Linked DNA regions of Drosophila melanogaster. The protein of the gene in region 2 purifies or fractionates together with the protein of the main gene of each other region. This does not show direct contact. Each region holds a gene or a part of one and is shown on either strand. Other genes may lie near its edges.

Region 1 (4,593 bases), on a different chromosome or scaffold from region 2:
CATTTTATTCTTGCTTTTACGCGTCTGCTGTTCCTTGCTTAAGCTGCGTTCCTGTGCCTGCAGCGTGGCTAGCTCCTGTTTGTGGCTTTGCATCTGCACTTGTAGTCGCTTCTGGAGCTGCGCATCTCCAGAATTCCGGTCCAGGGACTGTTTAACCTTGGCCATATCTCTTTGCTTTCGGCGGATTTCATCAGCAATTCGCACTGTTTCCACGTTAAGAGTTTTGGTTGAGTGCTGCTGTAGCTCGTTGGTCTTAGCTTTCTTGGTCACCTGCTCGCCTTGCTGAGTGCTTTCTCCAGGCCCCAAAACACTGTCGTTTAAGAATGTAAAGACATCCACACGTTGTGACTCACGGACGTAGGCCTTCTCATCAGCCTTTCGCTGTCGTCGCTGGGCGCGCTTTAGCTTTCGTTCCACGCTAAAATAATCCTTGTCCCCGTTGGCGGCCTCACGCAGCTCCATGCAGGCATCTAGAGATCGACCCTGGGGAAGTATCTGGGCGCTTACCGGGGTGACGATTCCCCTTCCATCTGAGCCAAGACCAGTACCATGGATGTAACCCATTTTCTCCATAAGCTTAGAGCCGATGCCCTATAGGGAATAGTATTTATAGGAATTTAAGTTTTCTGAATCGTAATCTGCTCAACATACCCGTGTGAACTCCTCCCAGGCGCCAAGTCGTTCCGTCGGCTTAAAGGTAAACAAACTCAACTCGACCATGCGTGCTCTTCTAGCTTCCTCCAGATCATCCATATCCGACTCCGCCTCGTCACTGCTGTTGTCGTTCATGCTGGAGTTGCTCTCCTCGCTGGAGAGCTCGTCATCCTCATCCTGATCGGTGGTAAGTGGATACAGTTCTTCGAACTTGAAGTCTCGTTCCCGCTCCTTGTGATCCTGCCCATCCAAGCGGACGCGGCATATCTGCTCTACGAAATTTACACAAAGGACACGACCTCGATGCCACAATCGATCTGGTAGCAGGGCAAAAACTGGACGACTGCGGGAGAGTTTGTGGAAATCGGGTGGATTATATTTTCTAATGGAGCTACCGGTGACAAGGGCGCCATGGGAAAAGCGACACTTGGCCTCATCAAAGCGGCACTCGCCTTCGAGGTAATACGAACAGGGCAGCATTTCTCGATGCGTGGGATTCGTAAAGAGAACCCTTAGTCGAGCATCCAAGACGCCTTCGCTGTTCATAACCACCTCGTCGTCCACTCCGCAGATGAGGGCATTGTGGTAGCAGGTGCCCCAACTGTGCTCGTGTGGTGCGGAGCACTTCTCGCCCACCATGGCGGTGTACTTGGTTCGCAAGTCAGCCAGCTGGCGTTCTTCATCCAACGCGGTTTGTGAGGAGCCGGCCGCCTCTAGGTCATTAAGTTCGCTTTTGAGCCGCTGCAGCTCATCATCCAGATTGTCGCCCTGCTGAGGTAGTTCATCGATTGGTGCTTCATCTCCTGATTCCCGGGTGAGGGCCAACAGCTCCTGCAGATTGTTCTTTAGGGCCAAAAGATCCTGGCGTTGCGCATCATCCGCGGCATTTTCCAATGCCTGCTCCACAACGAGCAACTGTTTGATGCAAGTATTTTCATAAAAATAGTTGGGATCTCATGTTATCACCTTTGCTCACTTGTGCTTCGTATTCTTCCATTATTCTTTAAATTTATTATTTACAACATAGTGCTGATGGCAAGTTTGTTTTCAGATTCTAAGGAGCAAGCACACAGTAGAGGTCACGGTTATAGTACTCTTTTTGTTCAATTGTTATGTTTTCTCGACTATTTTTGGTTGCTTTTTAAATTTATTTATATAAATTGCTTATATGGTTGAAGGTAGTAAAATTATTATTATTAAGACATATGTATATTAAGAATTCTATTAAATGTTAACTCAAACAGAAAAAAGATGCTATTAATATAGCCGAATCTGTGATTGAGGCAAAACGTCTGGCAGCACCGTCAGCTGATGGGACTGGAACTTTTACAGCACTGGCAAATCGCCGGTAAACTCGTGTGGCTCTCATTTGTTTTGATTTCTCGGTTACTTATTACTTAACTAATTAGAATTTAATATGAATTTTTCACTGAATTTCACAACGAGAAATCTAGTGCCACGACTGCACCGATTCACCAGCAAGATTGCAGTGGACGTTGAACCAGCTGTGGTCTCTGCCCTGGAACATGCCACACTGAAGCCCAGAAAACATCCCGGAGTAGTGAGACCCAATCATGTGGAACTGCCGAAACAATTGAATGATACGCTAAAGCGCATCGTGGGGGATCATCCCGTCAAAAAACTAATCCACGATGGCCAGCAGCTCAACGCCTATATCAAATCCCGCCATCCACCACCCACGCTGGAAGAGATTGAGAACAAGAAACGCATCGTTATCGAAGAGGTCAACACGAAGATGCCTCTGGATCGCCTAGCTACACTCGACGAAGACGAGGCGGAGCGTTGGAGGCGCAAGCGGGAGCTGGAGATCAACAAGAGGCTGGGTCAGCGTATCTACGCCTGGAAGCGAATAGAATATGGAGCATACGAGTCGCTTGTGTACGCCATAGCTCGTGGTGCCCAGGAGTACGCCGTGTTGAAGCGCGTTCTCACGGAGCTGGCGCAGCGGGATGAACAGTTTCGGCCACGAAGCTTCTTTGACTTCGGATCCGGCATTGGAACCGGTATGTGGGTGGCCAGCGAACTGTGGCGCGAACACATATTCGAGTACTACAACGTGGACAGGTCCAGGGAGATGAATGAGATATCAGAGCTCATTCTGCGCGATGGCCATGAGAACAAGCAAATAGCCCTGCGCAATGTATTTTATCGACAGTTCCTGCCCGCCATCGAAACCAATTATGATCTGGTCATTATATCTCATACGCTTTTTGAGTTGGAGAACAAAGAGCAGCGGGAGGATGTGCTGCGGAATCTGTGGCGGAAGTGCGATGGTTACCTGGTCATTGTGGAGGAGGGAACGCGCCGTGGCAGCGAGTTAGTCAACGAGGCTAGGCAATTTTTGTTGGAACAGGAACAAGAAGGTCACACTGTGGCACCAGTAAGTTTCAACGTATTTGCGATGTAAGGGTAGTAATCTAACTTATTTATACATACCTTTAGTGTCCGCATGATTTGGTCTGTCCTCGACTTCGGGATCTGGCCGATCGAACGCCCTGCAATTTTCCCATCTCCTACGCTCCCCTGCGTTTGGGTAGCGACTTCTTGGCAGACCGTCACACCTCCCTCTACAGTTATGCCATCCTGAAGAAGGGTTCCCAATCCGATAGCTCAAGCTCCTGGCCGCGCATTGTGCGTCCCACCTTGGTAAGGTCAAAGCATGCCATCTGTCGGCTCTGCACAGAAAAGGGCACTCTCCAAGAGGTTATCTTCACGAAGTCCAAGCACGGAAAGTAAGTAGAACCACAAAAGGCTTTTAAACTCCTCTTAAGCAATTGTATTTTCTCTGCAGGTCTGCCTATTCTTGTGCAAAAGTGAGTCGGTGGGGTGATCGTTTACCTATGTCGCTGGGACAGCCGCAAATCAAACAAGAATCAATCGAATCAGAGGAACCACCTGTTTTGGCGTAGTCTAAGATGTTGAACCAATTATATTAGGCATAAAGTCACGACCTGAAGCTAATTGATACTAAAACTGGCATCCAATTAGTTGACTTAATTATGTGCAAACAAATCGTTGCGGGTGGAGCTGAATTTAATTAAACAGTTGCATTTAAGTTAACCATACAATTCAAATGGCAAGCGAGCATGCTCATTGATACTAAATTTTGTTCAACGGCCAACACACCCTCATCTGGATTTTAATGTATGGCAAGACAAAAGGCGGATGCGACTGCGGATGGGTTGGCCCCGCCGGTTTGGATCGTTGTGTTATATAATGTCACCTGTATATAGGAGCCTTGGGCTGACCATTGGTCGGCGATTTCAGCACGCCCAGTGTTCATACATATAGGTGCCATACACATACTGCTTTCATTATGCGTTTTAGGTTTAAGTCTTGAATTTAAAAACGTATTTCATTTGTACAATAATGTTGTTAAATATATATTTAAATGCCAAAATACAAGTTTTGGCAAATCAAAGAGTCTCCTGTCTTTTAATTAGGGATAATAGATTTCTTAGTCGAAATGTCTGGACTGAATATCTGCGTTTCGTAAGCCAATCCCAGTTTGGCTGACATTTAGTTATGAGAGTTTCGAAGTCTTAATGGGAGACGCGCCCTTTTAACGACCGCGGATCATCCCCGTAGCCATTCATCGCACCTCGAAGTCCTGTGTGCCATCAAAGGACATTATGTGGTTGGAAAAGGCCAAAATGTGGGGCGCGAAATGTGGCTAGCCGATGGAAAGGGGAGTGGGTGCGGAAGGACTACTTCCATGTACATCGGGTTTTAGGGATTGGCTTTGGAACAAGGTGTGTTTCAGAGCAACGAGCCGTGGATACATAACAAGGGACTATCCTGTGAGACTTCGTATAATAGGGCTTATACTCTTCTATTAAACTTCATTTAGAGCAACTCATTGATCTAATCTTGTACTATAATGGCTGATAGTGAATTTTTCATCTTTATATACATTTT
Region 2 (8,116 bases):
AGGAGTCGTCGTTCCAGGCCTTCCTGCGCACGGCTGAGCTGGCCGGCACTGAGTTCCAGGCCGAGAAGCTGAACATCACGTTCGTGAACCCCAAGCAGCGCGTTGGACTGCTGAGCAAGACGCAGGAGCAGCGCATGCACCAGAAGCACGACGAGCACCGTGACCAGCTCAAGATCCCGCGGCGGCCCAAGTGGACCAAGGAGACGAGCGCCGAGGAGCTAGTGCGAGCCGAGAACGAGGCATTTCTCGACTGGCGCCGCGACCTGGCGCTGCTGCAGGAGGACGAGGAGATCTTGATGACTCCGTATGAGAAGAACCTGGAGTTCTGGCGGCAGCTGTGGCGCGTAGTGGAGCGATCTGACGTCGTTGTGCAGATCGTAGACGCCCGTAATCCGCTGCTGTTCCGCAGCGCCGACCTTGAGCGCTACGTAAAGGAGGTGGAACCTAGCAAGATGAACATGATCCTGGTAAACAAGTCGGACCTGCTCACTGAGGAACAGCGTCGCCACTGGGCGGAGTACTTTGACAGCGAGGGTATTCGCACGGCCTTCTACTCGGCCACGCTGGTAGAGGAGGAGTTGAAGCGGGAGGCGGAGGAGTGCCTGGATTCCTTTCCCGAGGTGCAACAGCTGCGCAGAGCAGTTGAGGAGATAAAACAGTCGTTGGATAGCGTGGAGGACGCTTTGAACGTTATCGAGCAGAAATATAAGACGATTCCCGAGACTCAAAACGATGAGCTGCCACGATTGCCCGGGGACAAGAACAGTCCCCGACTGCTGTCCCGCCTGGAGCTCATTGAGTTCCTGCGAAACATCTACACCGGTCCCCGGCACACAGAGCAGCACGTGACCGTCGGAATGGTCGGCTACCCAAACGTTGGCAAAAGTAGCACCATCAACTCGCTGATGACAGTGAAGAAGGTGTCCGTTTCGGCCACGCCGGGCAAAACTAAACGCTTCCAGACGCTTTTCCTGGACAAGGACATACTGCTCTGCGACTGTCCCGGTCTGGTGATGCCGAGTTTTGTGTTAACCAAGGCGGACATGTTGCTCAACGGCATCCTGCCCATTGACCAAATGCGCGATCACGTTCCCGCCGTCAACTTGCTGTGCGAGCGCATTCCGCGCCACGTCCTTGAAGACAAATACGGTATTGTGATAGCCAAGCCGCTGGAAGGCGAGGACATGGAAAGGCCACCGCATTCGGAGGAGCTGCTGCTGGCTTATGGATGTAAGTGCCAATGCTTTGCGCACGCATTTCAGTATTTCACAACGCACTCTTTCTCGCTCTTTTCCAGACAATCGCGGTTTTATGACCTCCAACGGGCAGCCGGATCAGGCGCGTTCCGCCAGGTATGTGCTTAAAGACTACGTCAATGGCAGACTGCTCTACGCCATGAGCCCGCCCTCTGTACCGCAGACCGAGTATCACACCTTTCCCGAACGCCAGCGCAGGGTCATCGAGGAATCACAGCTGCCCGGCCAACAGCAGCGAGCCATGCGGGTGAGATTTGCCCTTTGCACTAGACGTGATTCCTTTGCTAACTGATCGCGTTTTCCGCAGATCAACAAAAGCACGTCCAAGGAGCTAGACAACCAATTCTTCTCCGACAAGCCTACGCACGCCCACGTCAAAGGACGCACTAACTTCCCTAACGTGCGCCTGGCCAACGACGGGTCCCTAGTAGCCGGCAATGATCCGGCGGCCAAGCCCTGGCGTCATGTGAAGAAGGAGAGGCGCGAGAAGCTGCGCAAAAAGTTCTCGCACCTGGACGAGCACTGATTGTAGCCCATTAGTTATTTATTCCGAAGGGTGTGTCTAAGAGGCACTTGTACATTTTAAGCATTAAACCTACGTATATACATATATATTAAAGTCCCCCCGACTTCGAGAGTTTGAAGGCCCACAATCTCAGACTGAAAGAGTTATATTGCGCAACTAGCAGATTGAGAGAAACATAGATAAGCCATCTGATGGCCCAGCCTGGACACAACGATTAACACAAAGATAGCATATATTTAGCATACACACCAATGAAAGCAAACTGTTGTTGGAATGGCGCCCCCAATTGAGTTTAAGAGATGCGTGAATGGAAGGTAATTTCGAGATGCGGAGGAGCGCAGTTGCGCGGAGAAAAGAAGCCTGCACTTTGACCGCGTGATAAGCGCAGATGCTTACGGCTCTTGTCTTCTATCACTTGGCCACAGTCTCTATCACGCAGTCTTCAGCGATGGCCACAAACGAGAGCTGCAAGCACTTCAGGGAGCTGGTCGTCGAACAGCGTTCTGGGCTGCTCCACATACGCTTCCAGCGGCGCTGGCAACGCCGAACCCTCTACGAGCTGATGCGCGCCCTGGACCTGGCGAGTGCAGACGCCGCCGTTAAGGTGGTCGTGCTCTCGGGCGAGTTTTCTGCAGCATGTGGCGGTGAGATGGAACCGTTGGCTCTCAAACAGGGTCTGGAGAATAGGAGTAGGCGTACCGCTTCCCACGAAGAAGCTGTGGGCAGTGGTGATGCCGAGGAGCAGTACATCCATGAGAAGGCGGCCAATTTTGTGATGCGCTCGCTGGCCAAGAAGCTGCTTGTGCACCGCAAACTCCTAGTGGCTTTTGTGGAGAGGCAGTGCGTCGGTCTGGGCCTGAGCGTGTGCAGCCTGTGCGATCTGGTCTTCGCAACGGAGTTATCTGCCTTTGTGCCCGCTTTCTCGCACCTGGATCCCTGCACCAAGGTGGGTCCCGGCTGGACTGTGCCACACGTCCACTGGCTGCTTCGTCTGGGCGATCAAGCGAGCTCCAGCATTGCCCTCCAGTGTGGCCTTGTGGCCAGTGTGGTGCGAGAGCCGCAGGAGTTTTGGCACCGCGTCGACCAATACTTGCGCTTGCCTTCCGCCTCCCTGTTGGCGACAAAGCGCCTCCTGTTTCGTCCCTGGCAGGACTCCCTCTTGGCCGAATTGCGCGAGGAGGGCACTCCGCTGGCTGCGCAGCGACGCCGCTTGGCCAGATCCTCGCTGTAGGGTTGCGCTTCCAGATCCGTTGAATCGATTAAGTAAATAAATAGCGATTATAAAATAATGACATGTCCCCATGGTATTTCTTTTCATTCCTTTCATTGGAGCTCCATGACTTAACTTAAACTTTAAATCAAAATCTGCAACGGAAACGGGTATGCATATACAGATGGGCAGCACTGTTTTCGATATCTTTCGACTGGAAGGCACAGCTGATTGCCGGCGCGTGTTGTTTTTTTTTTGTTGCTCGCCGCAAAACTGCGAAAGTAAAATCTCGTAATTTTGGGGAAGATTAATTAACTTGGGCAAAATGCAGCGAGCACGACTGTTGCGGAACGTGTGGCTCTGCAGGCAGCGCTTGGGCCATCTGCCAGGACGCAGCGCTTCCTCCGCCAGCCTGGCATTCCGTTATGCAACGAAGCCTGCGGCGCCAGCGGTGCCGTTCTCGCTGCTCCAGATGCGATCCCTGGGAACGGGTGGCGTCCTCAGTGCGGTGGAGCGAAGAAGCCGGCGCCCCGCCTCCTCCTCTGAAAAACCGAAAGCCAGCGTGGCGGATGCGTGGACACAGCTGGAGGCGTACTACCGGCAGCACGATCTGATCAACTTTGAGCACTGCCAGCGCCTGCTGGAGCTCCTGCAGGAGTCTGCGTCGCCGCTAGGAGTCGGCATCGAAGAGGTGCACTTCCTTCTAGGGTCCTGTGTGCCCGAACTGCTTCCTGCTCAGAGCAGCCAGGAGCGTCTTCAGCTCTTCAAGGGACTCTGGGCTCAACTGATCAAGTTGGGCCAGCCCACGCTGGCACATTACCACACGAAGCTCCAGGTGCTGCGCCAGAACCGTTTGCCTCTGACTGACTATCGCTCGTTGCTGGCGGAGATTGCCGTCTACCATGGAGCAGCCGATTCCACCTTGTACGGCGCTCTTTTGGACGTGGCCGGCGCCGCCGGAAACATGCGCATGGCCACCGAGATTTTGTCGGAGATGCGCGAGCGCAGCCTCGCCCTCACGGAGCACAACTTTCACGCCCTGCTTTTGGGCCACGCCCGCAGCGGTGATCTGCCCGGGGCGGAGTCCGTCCTAGCCAGCATGCGGGCCGCAGGAATACAGCAAGGCAGCAGCACTCAGGCCATTTGGTTCGAGGCTCTGCTGGAAAACGGTCAGTTGGCACAGGCCAAGGAGCTGCTGCAGGTGGAGCACGGATTCACCGCCCCTCAGCTGCTCCAGATGCTGCGGGGTCTGCTCGCCAGCAAGGATGTCGACACGGATCTAATCCAACTGCTTGTCAAGGAACTGCCCCGCGAGTTTCTAACAGGTATCGACCTGCCGCCCGCCATCAGAAGCCTGTGCATTCAGCTGGTGCACCAAGGACGCACCGAAGTCGTCATACAGCTCGTAGGTGCGTTGCCCGCTCCGAAGTTCGAGTTGCAGAATCAGAACGTGGATGAGTACGGTGCACTTCTGCTGCAGGAGTTCTTCCGCGCCCAAGTTCCGTTGGACCAAACAATCCAGTTCGCCGGTCAACTAGTGCAGCGGAACCAGAACGTCCGCGCCCTGCATTTGGTGGCGGAGTTGGCCCTTCGCCGTCAGCCATCATCCGCGCTACGCTGCCTGGAGGATCTATCTGCAGCCGGCGAGGAACTTCGTCCGCATTACTTCTGGCCCCTGATCTTGCACCATTACCGGCGGGAGGGCGAAAGCGGCATGCTACGCCTGGTTTCTGAAATGCGGCGCCTGCGCGTTGAGTGCGACGAGGAAACGTTGCGGCACTACCTGTTTCCCCACCTGCGCCAAACCCTGGTGCAGCCCTTGGAGGCCGTGAAGGCACTTGAATCGGCGGGGGTCAAGCCTTCCCAGACCCTGTGCCCGGTTGTGAGCCACTTGCTGCAGCAGCATCAGATGTCCGAGGTGCTGGACTTGCTTGATCGGTATCCGACACGCTTGGACCTGGCCACGCTGCTCCAACCACTTTCTTCGCTGGCGGTCAATGCCCGTGCCACGAAGCGTTTCGAGGTATTTGCCAAAGTGATCCAAGCCCTGCAGCAGAAGGCACTCAAACGGGGAGAAGATTTTGTGGGCTCCTTGCTGCTGCAAATGACTGGACCTCAGACGCGTCTGCGCCAGGATGCCACCTCGTTGCGACGTTTTCTGCACGAACTGAGACGCCTAGAGCTACAAATCTCACCCGCTGCCTCCGAAGCTCTACTCTCCGTGGTCCGGCACGCCACTGATGACGTTGACCTCATCCAGGATCTGGCCAAAACGCTGCAGAAGATGAAAAACCCACAGCTCGCCCTGCCAGCTGACACGGTCTCGCTCCACGGAGGCTTCATCAAGCACCCGCGCGACATGAGCATAGACGAGCTCGAGTGCCACCTAGTCGAGCTGGAGTCCAAGCAGCTGAACCCGCGAGGCGTGTTGCGTCGCTTGCTGCAGCTCTCGGTGCGCAGTGGGCGCTTGGAGCGCGCACAGCAGCTGTTGGCCAAGTGCCAAGTTCTGAAGGTTCAGGAAAGCGCAGGCATGATGGCCTCCATATTCGACCTACACATCAAGCTGCGCGACTTGCCGCGCGCCCAGGAGAGCTTGGAGCGACTGAGCAGCATGTATCCAGGTACCTAACAACTTACTACTAGATGTGAACTGCATTAATCCGCATACCGTTCTCTCTTAAGCCTTTCAGATTGACGAGCACAAAGTGATCGACTATGCCGCCCTCCTGGTCCAAGGCCAGCAGCTGGAGGCCGCAAAGCAGCTGCTCCAGCGACGCGCGGAGCAGCATAAGGTTGTCGGTGGCGACTATGTGATGAAGAACGTATGGCAATTGCTGACCAACGTGGGCCAGCTGGCCGCCTCTTCACATGCAGGTGGCGAGAGCTCCAAACAACTTAACCAGACTCGCGAGTGGTTGGACTTCCTCAGGGGTCTGGGCTACTGTCAATCGCAAAATGCCCTACTGGGACCAGTGGTCCGCGAGTGGCTGTTGAAGGGCAACTTGGACGCTGCGGTGGCCGAGTTTCAGCGACTGGCTAACACTCACAAGCACACGCCTCTGCAGTTCGAGCTCTTGTCCCTGCTGGTGCGACTGGGCAACGGGGACGAGCAGGAGCTGACCCGTTTTCCCGGCGTCACGGCCGAGTCCGCGCAGCAGCACCTAGCGGTGGTTACTGCGACTGTGAGTCGCATCCACGGAGCGGCCAATATGAACAGCGCTCTGCTGCTCGCCCTGGCCGAATCCGGAAAGGAGACACAGCTGCGCCGGCTGATCATCAACCCAGAGTTCCGCATCAACCACGAGCTCCTCGTGAAGAATTGCGAGCACTTGGGACAGGAGGGCGCTGTGCGGACGCTCCTGCGGCTGGCGCGCGGAGTGAGGGGTGTCCAGCGGACCATAGACGAGCAGAAGATCTACGACCTCCTGTTGGCCCAGTTCTGCCGTAGCAACGACTACGAGGCGGCGTTGGATCTCTTTGAGCGCTTGGAGGCCGACGACGAGCTGAAGGTGTCGCATGAGTTCCTTCGCAACCTTGTGCAGCTGCTGCAGGTGAACCAGGTTGAAATTCCCAGTACAATCGCCCTGCGCGCCCACGTTAGATAGCCGGGCGACGAGATAGATAGATCGTCGCTCTTATCCTTAGTTATACACTTGGTATGTATGTACACACATAAATTAGTGCAGTAAATACGAGACGGTATACCTGCAAGTCTGAAAGATCTTTTATAGCTTCTGGGTGTCCTGGTGCCACGTCTAGTAGGCCTGGCTTTTGAAACCTATTGTCATCTGGAATCTGTGCTCCGAAACGGTCACAAAGTTTTCACTCGTAGCATACAACAGTCTCCTAACAGCTTCTCCGAAACCCACTCCCAATCTAAATTTTAGTTTTTATTCGCGTTCAATCTGTGCAAGTTGCAACCCCTCCCTATCCAACCATGAAGCGGCTGTCCCGACGTCCGGTCTCCGATGAGCAGAAGGCCCAGATGGGCAACCAGATTCATGAGCAGGGCGCAATAGAGGTATTCATGTCGGTGGCCACCGTCTCGCCGCTACTCCGAACGCGGGTCCTTCCGCAGCTAAAGGATCAACAGGATCAGCTGAAGGACAAAAAGCAGGACCGCAGGCCGAAACCGGAGCCAGAGAAACTCGAGAGCGGCGCTCAGGGCGACGCCGGTTCCGCTTCCTCGACGTCGGCCCACGCTGTAAAGCTCTTGCCAATCGAGGGAGATCCAGCCAAGCTGAAGGCGCTGACCAGCCGCCAGCAAATTGCCAGCCTGCTCAATCACCTCGGCGACGGCGCAGAGGGCGATGGCGAGGCCAAGCAGATCGTGATGGAGCTGCTCGGCAGCGGGGTGCAGCCGCACTCGGCCATCGAGCGCGTTTCCGAACAGCTGTTGCACGTGCTGCGGGAGCAGACTCTGATGGAGGCCGGCATATTCGTCGGCAATGAGCGGTATCGCTTCTTTAAGGGCGTGCTGCAGAACTACGCCAAGATATACGCGGCGCGCAAATTTATAGATAAGCTGCCGAAGCTAGATCAGCTTGGCCCGGATGCGGGTGCGGAGCGCGAGCTGTTCGCCCGCGTCGTTGCGGAGGAGGTGCTGCAGATCCCGCAGCTGCTGCGCCAGCTGAGGTCGTCCCTGTCGAAGATGGAGTTCTTCAACGAGGACACCGCCTTCAAGGCCTACCTGGAAGTCCGTTATCACCCGCAGGCCCGTATCCTGTGCGAACTAATGCTCACCCGCATCTCTCGCGTCTTCCTCTGCATTGTCGGCTCACCATTCTTCCTGTACTTCACCGAGCACGAGCTCACGCACATCTTGCGAAACTGTTACCTCAGCGTCAACTCGGAGATCGAGGTGAGATCGTCAAATCATTTCCGTGTGGTCACTGGGTCATTCTCCTTCTAATTCAAACGATAACCATCGGCAGATATTCCTTTCCGTGGTGCTCTGGCTGGAGCACAACTGGCTTGAGCGCGGCGACTGCGCCGAGCGCATCTTAGCCGAGGTGCATTTCGCCTTGATGCCGACTTGGTACTTGTGCACCCTGGACAGGTCCAACCGGTGCAACCACTTTGCCCGAGTAATCCACAGTCCCGGCGTGCAACGCTTGATTGCCG
Region 3 (7,909 bases), about 10 Mb from region 2:
GCGGCCTTGGTTTCATTTCATTACTTCTTAAATTTGAAACCACACACGGAATGCTTGTGGGATTTCAAAAAACATTTCAATACCTCCACAATCGAGTGGAAATATATTTGCAGATCTGCCCTTGTAAAAGGAGATATATTATCAGACAAATTTGCAAAAATTGCAAAATGAAGTTTAATATGCAAACCACTAGGAAATAAAATGCTTAAAGGGTTAAATATTCAAATTCTCAAAATCAGAAAAAAAAAAACGTTTTTCCGTTACCTTAAGACATAAAATGAAGTAAATAAATAACAACATGAAGTAAAATAGCAAAATTTTTTTCCTTTGAGATTTATACAATTATTTTCCCAAGTGTATATTTTAAATGATGAATGCGCATTTTTTGATTTTTTCACTGACGCAGTTTGAGGAAAATGCCCAAACATATGCACATACATATGTACCTATATGTGAATGAATGTAAATTTATGAAGCCCTCGCTCAATTCAAGTAAAACAACATTTTTTCTGAAATCAAACCGTTTCAGAGACTCGAGCGAGTCACACGTAAATTATCCCGATCTGCTAATTAATTGTTTAGTACAGCTTTTTGAACCGAAAACTTGAACACAATCAATGTGAGTGATGACAATTCACAAATTGCATAGATATTGCATAATTGATTCCTTTATAAAACATATTTGAAATCAGTTTTTGTGTTATAGGTGGACATTGTTCAAATCTAATGGAAATTCTAAAATGAACATCAACAGCGATTCGAACCAGGAACAATACTACAGACGAAATATTTTAGGGAAAGTTAATGCTGCAGATTGCGCAAGCTATTCCCATAATTTATTTATTGATTATAAGCTACAATTATTTTTCTGGGCTGCAGTATGCTGCTGCGTTCTCACGTTTTTGATTTGTCTGGCAATATGTATTTCGATATATATATATTTTATACGCTAATCAAAGTTAAAGTTATACGAAGTTCAATCTAAGATAACCACTGTATTTTTATTTATGGGAAAGCCTTTTATTTATGCTCATTTGTTCACATTCGAATGGTTTCTTGTTTATTTCAACTTTGGCGTTGAAAGCGTTTCCGACTATATAAAGCATATATATTATTGATCAGTATCAATAGCCGAGTCGATCTAGCTATGTCCCTCTGTCTGTCTGTCCGTATGAGGAACTATAAAAGCTAGAAGGTTGAGATTCAGCATACAGATTCTAGAGACAAAGACGCAGCGCAAGTTTGGTGACCCATGTTGCCACGCCCACTCTAACGCCCACACTTCTGAACCATTTTTTGAAATTTTTCATAATTTTTTTAGTTGCCAAACTGCGAAAAGACACGCCCACTCTAACGCCCTAGGGCAGCCGAACCGGTCACGCCCACAGTTTGGAACATTTTTTTTAATTTTTCTCATTTTATTCCCCAATATCTATCGATATCCCAGAAAAATGATAAAATTTCGCGTTCGCATTCACACTTGCTGAGTAACGGGTATCTTATAGTCGGGGAACTTGACTATAGCACTCTCTCTTGTTTTTTTTTATTTCCCTTAATGATTACAAGGAACCCTTGCTTCTGAAGGCAAATCTTGATGAGTCACATTATTGACAAAGAAAATATATATTTATATCATATATATTTATTGGGAACGAAAAAAGTTTTGATTATAATGATTGCCTTCGCAACTAAAACTTTAACCTGTAGGAAATACTTGAAGGTTTTATTTTTTCTTCCATTTTATCCAACAAGTTATTTCAAGTTAAACCTTATGGTTAAATCCTGTTTGTAATAGTTTATTATAAGGTCGACTATATAAGTACTTTTAAATAAATACGCAATACGGGAGTCCTATGTTTGTTTATTCATTTCATAAATTTTGGCGATTTTGGCGTTTTCCAAAATAAACAGTAATTTATGGTATAATTACTAAAAAGACAATACTTAAACGATATATTATTCACCCCATCACCGATAGTATCTATAGTCAACTTGCCCAACACTAGCGATTGATGTTGCCATACGCGATTATCGATAGACCCCTCGTGAGTCAAATGCAAACTGACGTATATTTATTACTGGCAAAACAGGCCGGGCAAATTTGTTGAACAAGCAAGAAAGTTTTCGCTTTTTTTAATCCTACATTCCCCGCAATAGCGTGGGAATCTCGTACAGACTCAATTTAAAACACACAACAGCCACAGTTTCGAAAGAGTGCCGAACGGCGGGCTCCCGAACACGGAAAGCGCGAAACGCACACACGACACCATCGCCATACCATAATCATCGCGGCCACGCTCCAAGCTTAGGAATTTTTCAATTCCGGAAACACTGACCAAGCGATCCGTGGTCTAGGAGCAGGTACTATAGGTGAGCATCAGTCCCATCCGAGTTACGTACCTATCGGCCAATGCACATTGCTAACTAGATCTCATCGCGATCCCTGCGGAAACGCAGCATAATCACCTTGGGTGAGAAGAAACAACAGGCGCCATGAGCGTGGACACGTACGCGCCCAGCTCGGCGCTCTCGTTCCTGGACATGGACGACAACGAGCTGCTTCCGGGAGCGGATACTCAACCCACGCAGTACGATTACCGCGACTTTACCATGCCCTCCACCTCGCAGAGCCAGACCCAGAACGATCAGCTGGAGATTGCCGTGAGTTGTCCCCCAAATCATTCCGCGAAACCCAAATGGCATATACCCTTTTTAATTTACAGCAACGCTGCTCTGCCGGAGACTCGCATCCACGACTGGCCAGCATCACCAACGATCTGGCCGATCTGCAGTTCGAAGAGGAGGACGACGAGCCTGGCAGCTCGTATGTGAAGGAGCTGCCGCCGCATGCGTGCAAGTATTGCGGCATCCATGATCCAGCCACGGTGGTCATGTGCAACAACTGCCGCAAATGGTTTTGCAACGGTCGTGGAAGCACTTCCGGTTCGCACATCATCAACCATCTGGTGAGGGCCAAGCATCGCGAGGTGACGCTCCACGGGGAAGGTCCCCTGGGCGAGACAATCCTGGAGTGCTACTCCTGTGGTGTGCGCAACGTCTTTGTGCTGGGCTTCATTCCGGCCAAGGCCGATTCTGTGGTCGTGCTGCTCTGCCGTCAGCCGTGTGCCGCCCAGAATTCGCTAAAGGATATGAACTGGGACCAGGAACAGTGGAAGCCTCTAATTGCAGACCGCTGCTTTTTGGCCTGGCTGGTAAAGCAACCCAGCGAACAGGGACAGCTGCGAGCTCGCCAAATCTCAGCCGCTCAGATCAACAAGCTGGAGGAGCTATGGAAGGAGAATATTGAGGCCACGTTTCAGGATCTGGAGAAGCCAGGCATTGACTCGGAGCCAGCACATGTGCTACTCCGCTACGAGGATGGCTATCAGTACGAGAAGACCTTTGGGCCGCTGGTCCGCCTTGAGGCCGAATACGACCAAAAACTGAAGGAGTCTGCCACGCAGGAGAACATCGAAGTACGCTGGGACGTCGGCCTCAACAAAAAGACCATTGCCTACTTTACGCTGGCGAAGACCGATTCGGACATGAAGCTCATGCATGGCGACGAGCTGCGCCTGCATTATGTGGGCGAGCTGTACAATCCGTGGAGCGAGATCGGCCACGTTATCAAGGTGCCGGACAATTTCGGCGATGACGTCGGCCTGGAGCTGAAATCCTCAACGAATGCCCCGGTTAAGTGCACCAGTAACTTTACGGTGGACTTCATCTGGAAGTGCACGTCATTTGATCGCATGACACGTGCTCTGTGCAAATTCGCCATCGATCGCAATTCAGTGTCGAACTTCATCTACTCGCGCCTGTTGGGCCACGGTCGTGCGGATTCCAACGACGAGGTGCTGTTCCGCGGCCCACAACCCAAGCTCTTCAGTGCCCCGCATCTGCCGGATTTGAATCGCAGCCAGGTGTATGCCGTGAAACACGCGCTTCAGCGTCCGCTCTCGCTAATCCAAGGGCCGCCTGGCACGGGCAAAACCGTGACCTCGGCGACCATCGTTTACCAGCTGGTCAAGCTCCATGGTGGCACAGTGCTGGTGTGCGCTCCCAGCAACACGGCCGTGGATCAGCTAACTGAGAAGATCCACCGAACAAACCTTAAAGTGGTGCGTGTTTGCGCCAAGAGCCGTGAGGCCATCGATAGCCCGGTAAGCTTCCTGGCGCTGCACAACCAAATCCGTAACATGGAGACCAACTCGGAGCTAAAGAAGCTGCAGCAGCTGAAAGACGAGACCGGCGAGCTGAGCTCAGCAGACGAAAAGCGATACCGCAACCTGAAACGTGCCGCCGAGAACCAACTGCTGGAGGCTGCCGACGTTATCTGCTGCACATGCGTAGGCGCCGGCGATGGTCGTCTATCGCGAGTCAAGTTCACCTCGATCCTGATCGATGAGTCTATGCAGTCGACGGAGCCGGAGTGCATGGTGCCAGTGGTGCTGGGCGCTAAGCAGCTGATCCTCGTGGGCGATCACTGCCAGCTGGGACCGGTTGTTATGTGCAAGAAAGCAGCTCGTGCCGGCCTCTCGCAAAGTTTGTTCGAGCGCCTGGTGGTTCTGGGCATCCGTCCGTTCCGGCTGGAGGTGCAATATCGCATGCACCCCGAGCTGTCCCAGTTCCCGTCCAACTTCTTCTACGAGGGATCGCTGCAAAACGGCGTCTGCGCGGAGGATCGTCGCCTTAAGCTTGATTTCCCCTGGCCACAGCCGGAGAGACCGATGTTCTTTCTGGTAACACAGGGACAGGAGGAGATTGCCGGCTCCGGCACCTCTTTCCTCAACCGCACAGAGGCGGCCAACGTGGAAAAGATTACGACGCGATTCCTTAAGGCAGGCATCAAGCCGGAACAAATTGGAATCATCACGCCTTACGAAGGTCAGCGCGCTTACCTGGTGCAGTACATGCAATACCAGGGCAGCCTGCACTCTCGTCTATACCAGGAGATCGAGATCGCCAGTGTGGACGCGTTCCAGGGACGTGAGAAGGACATCATTATCATGTCTTGCGTGCGATCTAACGAACGTCAAGGCATCGGCTTTTTGAACGACCCACGTCGCCTTAATGTTGCCCTTACACGGGCCAAGTTCGGGATCATCATTGTGGGCAATCCCAAAGTGCTCGCCAAGCAGCAGCTGTGGAACCATCTGCTCAACTTCTACAAGGACCGTAAGGTGCTCGTCGAGGGATCTCTGAATAACCTTAAGGAGTCGCTAATCCACTTCCAGAAGCCCAAAAAGCTTGTCAACAGCATGAACATTGGGGCACACTTTATGTCCACCATTATTGCCGATGCCAAGGAAGTGATGGTGCCAGGCTCCATTTACGACCGCAGTGGCGGTTACGGCCAAGGTCGCCAAATGGTGGGACAGTCAATGAATGGCGGACAGTACGGTGGCAGTGGAGGTGGTCCCTACGGAAACTCACCCCTCGGCTACGGTACTCCCAGCTCCAATTCCATGGTGGGCTTTGGCCTGGGCAACGGAGGCAATGGCGCGGCCGGTGGCAACAACAACTTCGGAGGGGCTGGACCCAGTTGGGCGGCTGCCCACCTCCACCACGACTCCATTGGCTATATATCCAACGAGCATGGAGCAGCAGCACTGGGCAACATGCCAGTTCCGGTTGGCATGTTCATGAACATGAGCAATATTCCGCCGCGTTTCTACAACCAGCACCAGCAGGCGATCATGGCGGTCAAGCAGAATCGCGCCATTCAACAACAGACGGGTAATTTCTCTCCCGGTAACTCGGGTCCTGGAGTCACTGGAGTCGGAGTCGGACGAAGCGCCACCCCAGGCGGCAATAAGAAGACCAACAAGCTGGGAAAATCGCGCGTAACGGGCGGTGGAACTGGCGGGGCACCGCTAACACAAGGAAGCTCGGTATGCAATGCTGCTCCATACAGTCAGCACCCGATGCCTTTGTCGCTGCAGATGACCCAGCCCAGCGGATTTGCTCTGTCCCAGCAGCCGGAACTTTCACAGGACTTTGGGCAAATATCGCAGATGGACGGTTTGCTATCCCAGGATGTTGCCTTTAACGCGGTAAGTGTGGAAGTGATATTTTTGAAACCCAAAGAGTGTTAGGTAATCTGAATTATTTGTGTTTCGCAGTCGGGCGAGCGGAGCTTGAATCAGTTCTCACAGCCTTATTGAGAATCCGGTTGGAGGTGCAACAACTACAAACGATAACAAGCAACACAAACGAAACAACAACAAACTCAACTTTGAAGTCATCATCAAGGAGTAGCATCAGTAGGCAGCAGGAAAAAGCAGAGAGGACCATCACGGGAACAACGACAGATGCGGGAAACAATGCGACCTAAGAACATTAGGACAAAGCGGGACATTAAAAGATGGCAAATCGAGACGAGGCAGCGTGATAGATGGAGACGGATATGGCAAGATGTGGAGTTACAAAGTAATAAAGAAGACTGAGACGGGAGAGAGATGTCGAAAGATCGAAATATCGAGAGCAAATCACTGTAGGCTGCCAGGATGCACAGCTGCAGTTGCTGTTTCCGTAGCGCCGCGGGCCATGGAGTCATAGCCAGGCGACATGCCATTGGCCACCGGCCATTGGCCATTGGTCACGAGTGCGCTCCCGAGACGGAGTTCGCCCACGGATGAGCCAATCTGCCAGCAAGGCGCCACACAAGATGGACAACTTCTCGACACGTTTCTTTTCTCTTTTGCCAGCCCAGGATTCGCAGCCGGAGCCTAACAAAGACGCAATCACTCCCGCCCAGGACATGTATTCACCAAGTGGCTTATCTTCTAACCTTCTTCTGGCCTCTAGTGCAGCAGCCAATCTTTAGCTCCTGTTTTAACATTTTCCCACCCAAAGCGGTTTATACCGATCCCCATATATGTATGCCCACTGTTGTACATTTTTGGACTCTTTTTTGATGCATTTGTTATCCTAACAAACACGAAAACAAAATCAAACAAAAACAAGGAAAATCACGCAAACAAAGAATCAAGACGAAACAAAATCAAATTTAAAAAACATGGATACACCATTTATAATCGCTCGGGAACGCTGGCGGATCCCCCCAAGCGGATGCAGGCTTCCAGCGCAGTTCGGATATCGAATGGTTGATAGGAAAACGCATTGCGATTTACCGATCTACATAGGTACACTACAAAAAAAAAAACACCACAAAAAAACAGGCGAACATTAACAAACTGAACCAACGGAGTAAATGATCAGGATCAGAAAAGGTTAGTTATTAATAATATTAATGCAGTTACAGATGCCTGATCATTGTTTTTAAAACGACATGAAAATCGTATATATTTTCTATATATTGTCAGTTAATTCTTCCTCCATGCGACTCTTTGTATCAAGAAAATGGAACATTTTGTTTGAAATTCAAAATAAAGAATTCCCTTGCGAAAAAAAAAAAACCAATATTCGCGCCAAGAATTTTCTCTTTGGGGCACGTGAAAATTGAATTTATATTCGAGTTTCCAGACACTTGGCTGTTTTGTTGCTTTTTAATTTACAGAACTTGCAATTTTACATTTTCGGATGACATGTTGTTTTTCAAATAGATACATACACACCACTGGAGGAACGAACATCGCACACCTCCGTGGCTGTTTACAATAATTAATGGAATGCGAGCAAACAATTCGAGTGTTTAAAGGTATAAATAGGAGAATATAATAACATTTAACAAGATAATGTATGTAATGTAAAAGTGTATTGAAATTCGATTCCAGTCGGGCTGCTTTCACGTTCTTTTCCGTACGGATGATTCGGTTCGGATTCTTTTGAATTTCAATTTACAAGCTTTCCTGTTTCGATTTAACATTGCTGCACATATTACCTATCCATTTAGTTTCTTCATTCTTGTTTCCAAGTACCATAAAGTTGTTGTACTTTCTTTTTA

The links.
Region 1: the proteins of Lrpprc2 (region 2) and CG13126 purify together in Drosophila melanogaster (affinity purification with mass spectrometry, with the first as the bait; one large-scale study listed by BioGRID). This does not show direct contact.
Region 3: the proteins of Lrpprc2 (region 2) and Upf1 purify together in Drosophila melanogaster (affinity purification with mass spectrometry, with the first as the bait; one large-scale study listed by BioGRID). This does not show direct contact.

The regions. Positions count from the first base shown.
Region 1 is NT_033779.5:9,951,572-9,956,164, reverse strand, and holds CG13126 (uncharacterized protein), read left to right. Parts: upstream 1-1,983; 5' UTR 1,984-2,071; coding exon 2,072-3,055; intron 3,056-3,117; coding exon 3,118-3,407; intron 3,408-3,466; coding exon 3,467-3,584; 3' UTR 3,585-4,093; downstream 4,094-4,593. Other genes in the region: CG4709 (uncharacterized protein), read right to left, coding at 1-591, 652-1,569, 1,631-1,651.
Region 2 is NC_004354.4:1,455,760-1,463,875, reverse strand, and holds Lrpprc2 (Leucine-rich pentatricopeptide repeat containing 2), read left to right. Parts: upstream 1-3,258; 5' UTR 3,259-3,317; coding exon 3,318-5,613; intron 5,614-5,674; coding exon 5,675-6,597; 3' UTR 6,598-6,701; downstream 6,702-8,116. Other genes in the region: Ns3 (nucleostemin 3), read left to right, coding at 1-1,230, 1,298-1,503, 1,564-1,782; CG14787 (uncharacterized protein), read left to right, coding at 2,231-3,013; CG14785 (uncharacterized protein), read left to right, coding at 6,930-7,853, 7,927-8,116.
Region 3 is NC_004354.4:11,899,496-11,907,404, reverse strand, and holds Upf1 (Upf1 RNA helicase), read left to right. Parts: upstream 1-2,033; 5' UTR 2,034-2,370; intron 2,371-2,428; 5' UTR 2,429-2,493; coding exon 2,494-2,661; intron 2,662-2,723; coding exon 2,724-6,056; intron 6,057-6,125; coding exon 6,126-6,167; 3' UTR 6,168-7,409; downstream 7,410-7,909. Other genes in the region: CG43156 (uncharacterized protein), read left to right, coding at 741-953. UniProt on the Drosophila melanogaster protein: RNA-dependent helicase and ATPase required for nonsense-mediated decay (NMD) of mRNAs containing premature stop codons.